Linked DNA regions of Arabidopsis thaliana. The protein of the gene in region 1 interacts with the protein of each later gene in a pairwise test. Each region holds a gene or a part of one and is shown in the gene's direction. Other genes may lie near its edges.

The links. Proteins that work in one complex are often made in the same cells at the same time.
Region 2: the proteins of AT3G03990 (region 1) and FP6 interact in binary tests that used the Arabidopsis thaliana proteins (3 or more experiments, as listed by UniProt).

Annotation. Positions count from the first base shown.
Region 1 is NC_003074.8:1,031,867-1,035,623, forward strand, and holds AT3G03990 (alpha/beta-Hydrolases superfamily protein), read left to right. Parts: upstream 1-1,712; 5' UTR 1,713-1,921; coding exon 1,922-2,725; 3' UTR 2,726-3,371; downstream 3,372-3,757. Other genes in the region: AT3G03980 (NAD(P)-binding Rossmann-fold superfamily protein), read left to right, coding at 1-323, 807-1,215; AT3G04000 (NAD(P)-binding Rossmann-fold superfamily protein), read left to right, coding at 3,634-3,757. UniProt on the Arabidopsis thaliana protein: Involved in strigolactone signaling pathway. Does not move long distances acropetally in the plant to regulate shoot branching and is rapidly degraded in the presence of strigolactones.
Region 2 is NC_003075.7:18,032,309-18,036,065, forward strand, and holds FP6 (farnesylated protein 6), read left to right. Parts: upstream 1-1,822; 5' UTR 1,823-2,047; intron 2,048-2,054; exon of another isoform or gene 2,055-2,179; 5' UTR 2,180-2,287; coding exon 2,288-2,365; intron 2,366-3,001; coding exon 3,002-3,385; 3' UTR 3,386-3,581; downstream 3,582-3,757. Other genes in the region: PIS2 (Putative CDP-diacylglycerol-inositol 3-phosphatidyltransferase 2), read right to left, coding at 1-44, 145-184, 387-436, 548-632, 726-783. UniProt on the Arabidopsis thaliana protein: Heavy-metal-binding protein. Binds lead, cadmium and copper. May be involved in heavy-metal transport. May be involved in cadmium transport and play a role in cadmium detoxification.

The DNA of each region.
Region 1 (3,757 bases):
ATTGGCCGAGCGATAGCGATCCACTTAGCTGAACTCGGTGCGAGGATTGTTATCAACTACACCTCTAAAGCCGCAGACGCCGAGCGTGTCGCGTCGGAGATCAATGATTTTCCAGTTAGGGAAGAAATCACTGGAAAGGGACCAAGAGCTATTGTGGTTCAGGCCAATGTCTCTGAGCCAAGCCAGGTTAAATCAATGTTTGATGCGGCGGAGAGTGCCTTTGAAGCGCCGGTTCACATTCTGGTTAACTCTGCTGGGATTCTCGATCCAAAGTACCCTACGATCGCAGACACATCAGTCGAAGATTTCGATCATACGTTCAGGTATATACTCGATACTGTTCGTTGATTGGGTTCGTTATAGAAAGCTGATTCCTTTAGAGAATTTATCTTCATTGATTGGGTTCTTGTCTTCCCGCTCAATACTGGAAAAGTAAACTTTTTTTTGTTAATTAGTTAGGTTGATGATTATGTATAAGTTCTTGATCAATTGTTACATGTTCTATGATTTTGAGTTAGAAAGCTGATTCCTTTAGTATATTTCAACTGAGATTTTAGTGGAATCTGTGTTCTTGTTCACTCTCCATGAACCATGAAATTATATGTTCCGTGTTCTTTAGATTTGTATGTCTAATTATGAGTCAAATGCAACATGTCTCGTGTTCTTGTGGCTAATTAATCGACTTATGTTTCTTGTTTCATCCAATGTTCCATGTTCGTGAGATTTGTATGTCTAATTTCCAACTAAAGTTCCTTCATTCTTGTTTCCAATAATCCTCTGTTTGTTTCTTTTAAAATGGAGTGTAGTGTCAACACAAAAGGAGCGTTCCTGTGTAGCAAGGAAGCTGCCAATAGGCTAAAACAAGGAGGTGGTGGTCGGATCATACTTCTGACATCTTCCCAGACTCGATCTTTAAAGCCAGGGTTTGGTGCCTATGCCGCATCAAAGGCAGCTGTGGAAACTATGGTCAAGATTCTTGCAAAAGAGCTCAAAGGAACAGGAATCACTGCAAACTGTGTTGCTCCAGGACCCATCGCCACTGAGATGTTCTTTGATGGAAAGACCCCAGAGTTGGTGGAAAAGATAGCCGCAGAGTCTCCCTTTGGGAGGGTCGGCGAAGCCAAAGACGTGGTGCCTCTTGTTGGATTCTTGGCTGGTGACGGTGGTGAATGGGTCAATGGTCAAATCATTCCTGTTAATGGTGGATATGTATAAAAGAGTTCGTCTTGAGAGGAGCCTCTTCCTGATACCTTGAGAAGCAAATGTAGGGGTTAACTTGTTAGAAATAAAACATTGGGTTCAATTGGAATAATAATAATAATAAACACTGAGGTTGAAAATAAATGTCTTAACCATCTTAATAAAACACTCGTGACTCACCTATGTCCAAAAAAATATATCCAAATTTCTTCTTCTTTTTTTGTCGACATCCTTTTGTTGTTGTCGTCGACATCTAACTTTTGAATTTCTTAAAAACCTTATGTTTAATTTACAAACTCGTGTCTTCGTACTGACACATTCATTGGAACCACTTTATGTTTTATATAATTCAATTTATCATCACCCACCATTCGAATAATCTTTGGGATAAACGTCGTTTGTTGAAATACAACTACAGAATAAAAAAATGGTTTAAGAATATGGCAAGTGCAACAACACCTAAAAGTCTAAAAACAATATCCTTGAAGCATCTTAAATCTCTTAAAATATATCAGATGTGTGACGAATAATCAACGCATGCTCTTGTATCCATAAACTTCAAAAGCCAATCGAAAGTATTGGATAATAATAATAATAAATGCAGTGGAAAAAAAAAGATGATAAAGGAATTTTCATTACACACACACACCTACCCAAACAAGTTTTTATATAAACAGTATCCAACTCTCTTCTTTACCCTCAAACCCAAACACATAAAAAAATGAGTCAACACAACATCTTAGAAGCTCTAAATGTCCGGGTCGTGGGTACGGGTGATCGGATCCTGTTTTTGGCCCATGGATTCGGTACTGACCAATCAGCTTGGCACTTGATCCTTCCTTACTTCACTCAAAACTACAGAGTCGTCCTCTATGACCTAGTTTGCGCCGGCAGTGTCAACCCCGATTACTTCGATTTCAATCGTTACACAACTCTCGATCCTTACGTCGATGATCTTCTCAACATCGTTGATTCACTCGGAATCCAAAACTGTGCTTACGTTGGTCACTCTGTTTCCGCTATGATCGGAATCATCGCTTCGATTCGTCGGCCGGAGCTTTTCTCCAAGCTTATCTTGATCGGATTTTCGCCTAGGTTTCTCAACGACGAGGATTATCATGGAGGATTCGAAGAAGGTGAGATTGAGAAAGTTTTCTCAGCTATGGAAGCTAATTACGAAGCTTGGGTTCATGGATTTGCTCCGCTTGCTGTTGGAGCTGATGTTCCGGCGGCGGTTAGAGAATTTAGCCGGACTTTGTTTAATATGCGTCCGGATATATCTCTGTTTGTTTCGAGGACGGTTTTCAACAGCGATCTGAGAGGTGTGCTTGGGTTAGTTAGAGTTCCGACGTGTGTGATTCAGACGGCGAAGGATGTTTCTGTGCCGGCTTCGGTGGCGGAGTATCTTAGGTCTCATCTCGGTGGAGATACTACTGTGGAGACTCTTAAAACTGAAGGACATTTGCCGCAGCTTAGTGCTCCGGCGCAGCTTGCTCAGTTTCTCCGGCGAGCTCTTCCTCGGTGACTTTTTTTTATAGATATAAAAAGAGAACAATAAAATATAATTGGTGGAATATGGGTTTAGTGGGGTCCACGTATCGAAGAAAAGAAGGGCCTCTATTTGTGGAGGACAGTTTGGCATTGTCACAAATCTAGTAAGATAAGATTGTTCACTTGACACGTGACTTTCGCTTTTTTATCACTTTTTTTCTTGCTCTCTTCATTAGTTTATAATCACAAGTTTATTTCATAAAATAATTGGAGAATAACCAAAAAAAACATTAAAAAATCCTATCTTATCTTTTACTTTCCTCTGAATATTTCTATCCATATTGTTGTTTCTTGTAAGTTCCTGGACCTTGTATTGATTGACGTCTAACAACACATCGATGCAACAACAATCTTTAGTCTCAACACTTTCGATTGTTTTCTCTAATAAAATGATGGAGACAAAAAGATATAAAGTATACTAGAAAATTCTAGCATCACATCGTAAAAGTATCAACAACTAAAATGAAGCAACTATGGCTGACATAATCTTGATTTAAGTTTTATAGTATGCAACTATGCATGTGTGTTCTAAATAATTTTAAAGTTAATAAAATTGGTTAGTTGTATAATGTTGTTACCGTGCTATATATAATACAAGTTAAGATTTGAGAAAGTGAGTGTGTGAATTCTAGAAGACAATCACACAACGAAAACACGTCCTATCAATCTAAACTTTTGAGCAATTCAAAATGCATACGAATTGACAGGTTAAGACAAATCTAAAAACATTTTCAGCAATTCAATTTGCTTACGAATTTGACAGCATAAGACAAATCTAACCATCACCACTACAAATTGCTTGCTTACACTCTTTTAGCACGTTGTCATCATTTCTACCCTAAATATAGAAAAGTAAATTTATAGTAAAATCTACCTAACAGTATGGCTGCAGCGTCATCAGTTTCTTCTCCACCGCTTTGCCTCGCCGGTCGAGTAGCTATAGTCACAGGATCTTCTCGAGGAATAGGTCGTGCCATAGCCATCCACCTTGCCGAGCTTGGGGCTA
Region 2 (3,757 bases), on another chromosome or scaffold:
TGTATATCTGGGAGAGAATCACGAGAAGACAGGCTGTGCTGACTCTGTAACCATGCGCAGACCCCAAAATATATGACAAAAATGTTAAATGAGATTAAAAGAATGAGCAAGTTGAAACTCGGGAATATGTAGCGGAAGATTCACCTATCTGTAACCATATCCAAAACAGCTCCAAATGTAGAGACTGAAAGGAAAAGAGTTGTGTGTTACGTTCAATCGTTTCTGATAATGTAGAACAAGAATAAACTGTGTATGGGACTAAAAATATTGATCAATGAGACAATGACATGAAATGTCATATTTAATCAATGTCAGGATCATAGAGGAAGCATAAGTAATGAGTTAGTTGAAGCTAAGAAAAGAGATGGGGAGAATGAAAAGAGCACCTTGGTTAAATTTACGAGCGCACCATCCATCCACAGCATCACAACAAAAACTGGAAACAAGATTGGGTAAAGAGTGACTAACATATGAAAGAAGAAGCACCAAACACACAAGATCAAAAAAGGAGAAGAACATGATGTTGGTACCACAAGGATAAAGTCACCTGAAAAAGTACAAGAGGGAGAAGAGTGTCTTGTTGGAGAAGCACACAGAGAAGGCAATGCAGTTCAAGAGAACTCTCATGTACCCTGCCAATTTTGCATGTAACAACACTAATCTCATATGGTTTAAAAAAAATGAAATTTTTAAAGACAGAAGAAAGGAAGTAGCAAAAAACCGACCAACGATATTGGGAATGTAGAGGTAGACTGACAACGTCGCCGGTCTCTGTTTAGCCATAACAGAGAGAGAGAGACTTCAGTTTGGGCAATCTGTTCCCCAACGAAGAAAACAAGGATCTCGCCAATGAAGGGATACCTACACGAGATTAGAAAGAAAAAAGGAACAAACTTTGTGGGAAAATGCGTACGGACAGAGGAACCCCAAATCCGGTAAATACGTGAACACACACACACAAACAAAGTAGGTCAATCGATTTTCAGACGCAACTGGAAATATCAAATCTCAAAGTAAGTATGGGGAAATTAAATATTTCTCACCTGCCTAAGAGAAATTGGGAACGAAGGGATCCGCAGGATGAGCCTGCAGACTTTGTTGGAAGCTCTCACAAGAATCAGATTCGCCTCTCTCTCAAGCAAAAACGTTTTTTCGTTTAATATTCTCAAATTCAATTTGTGAAATACAGTACTAACATTTGTTAAATTATTTGTAAAACTTTTCTCGGTTTCGCCGCTTCAACACTGAAAATTTGCATATTTTATTTGCAAACAATACATACACGCATATATCGTTAATTTTCTTCTTCTTCCACGCACACTTTATTTACTGCTGAATTCGGATTGTGTCATTAGTCATTACTCACTCATTACTAATTTCCACAAACCTTTGTATCTTCATCGCTTAAGACTATAATTGATGATGGGATTTTCGGATATATGAACTTGAATCCCATGGGGGTCCAGATATCCAGATGGTTCTACTTGCAAGTCTTGCAAATCTAAATGGAATTAAAACTCGGTTGATTTTTGTCAAAAAATCGCCAAAAATATAAAATGGTAAGTAAGTGGGCCTCAGAAAAATCCATTAGAAAGCCTAGACCAAATTTTGGAGTGGGCTTCATAAAATAAACAAATCTGGTCATCAAGGTCGGTACGTCGGTGTGACTTTGCGAGTCATCATCGATTATCCAAAAACAATAACTCCTCTCTTTACTTTCTTCCCATGCACCAAGAATATATTTTTTTTATTATTATTTATTAAACAAAAAAAAAAGTAAAGCAGCAGAAAATCTAACGCACGACTCTTGTCCCAAGATCAGTCTCAGTCATCATCAAAACAGAAAATTTTATTATCCATTGTAATTTTATTTTTTTCTTACAAATTACAACTCTTTTTTTTTTCATTCATGGAATTGGAATGAAGAAATGTTTTAAGCCAATCCAAAAAAGAAACCGAAAAAAAAAAACTAGAAATTAGGAAACCGTTAGCAAGAAGAGAAGAATCGAGACGGCGACTAGGAAACTGCTGGGACCAGAAAAGAAAGGTGACCCATCCATCATTCACTTAATTAGATACATACTGTATTACTTATTACAATAATGCCTATATATATTCTCCCAATTCATCATTTACTTCTTTACACCTCCACTTTCCCTTTTGCCCCTCTTTTTTACAGATTTCACTCTCTGCTCTACTACTCTCTCCTCCTCCTCCTCCTAAAGAAAGTTCTTAACTCTCCTGGGTTCTTCAGGTTTTTCCTTTTCTGGAATAAAAAGAAGAAGAAATGGGTGTTCTTGATCATGTCTCTGAAATGTTTGACTGCTCTCATGGTCACAAGATTAAAAAGCGCAAACAGTTGCAGGTACTTTCCCTCTTCCTTTTCTTATCTTAGCAGATTCAGCTGATAACTTAGATCTTGGTTTGCAAAAAAACAAACATAATAATTCGTTGAAAAGTTATGATGAATGAGTCTAGTAGAAACTAGCTTCGATGGTTACTAGGAAAGTTTGAGTGTTACTTAGTAGATCTCGTATATTATAGTTCCATAAATAGACTGCCATTAGCAAGTTTATTATTGTGGTTTTGGCTGGCTAATTTGTGTTACCTTTCTTACTTCAGATCTTTTTTAATATCTCTGTGTTTTTTTATCTGAAGAAGTATATCCAAATTGTTACATGATATAAGTGGGATTTTATTTGAAGCAGTTTTTGTTTTGAGTTAATGTTCCTTCCTAACGCCGACCGAATAGATTCTTTTAATCTGAAATATAAGTTGATACAGCCATCTGTTAGATTTTACACCGGGATTTGTATTCTTCTCGCTGTCAGGAATACTATATAAAATCATTAATTTCCGGGGAAACCAACCACGTTAATTTTTCTCACTAGTCATGATGATATGGTTAAAGTCTTTCAATTGTGGACATTTACTATTCTTCTTAGATATTTTTAAAGTAGGCTAATTTTGTCGTTTTGTGTCGACTGCTTGATGAGGATAGACGGTGGAGATTAAAGTGAAAATGGACTGCGAAGGTTGCGAGCGGAAAGTGCGGCGTTCTGTCGAAGGCATGAAGGGTGTGTCTTCTGTGACGTTGGAGCCCAAAGCCCATAAAGTCACTGTAGTCGGCTACGTCGATCCCAACAAGGTGGTGGCTCGAATGTCTCACAGGACCGGCAAGAAAGTCGAGCTCTGGCCATATGTGCCCTACGACGTGGTCGCTCATCCTTACGCTGCCGGTGTCTACGACAAGAAGGCACCCTCCGGTTATGTCCGAAGAGTCGACGACCCCGGAGTGTCGCAGCTGGCTCGTGCTAGCTCCACCGAGGTCCGCTACACCACTGCATTTAGCGACGAGAACCCGGCGGCTTGTGTGGTCATGTGATGTCATATGGACTACTACTGTTTCAATTTGTTATGGCTTAATTTAATGTCTTGTTTTGTACATTAATACCATAACGGTAGGTTTCTTGTTTTGGTTTTAGTTCCTTGGTCTGTATTCCTTACACTTTATGATTGCAATATGTGTTTTTCCCTTTCTTCCAAAGACTTTTAATGTTAATAAATATTTCTACCCAAAATTAAATTATTTTCATTTATGGTTTGTAATTGTGAAGAAAGCTTCAAATGCGGATCAAGTTGTAGTTAAGAAAACCATTAAATTAAAATAGAGAGAGTAGTTGAAACAAGGGTTCCGAGCTTCCCTCTTTAACCTAGGACATCCTTAAAACAAGGGAACAATATAATACAAGTTGTA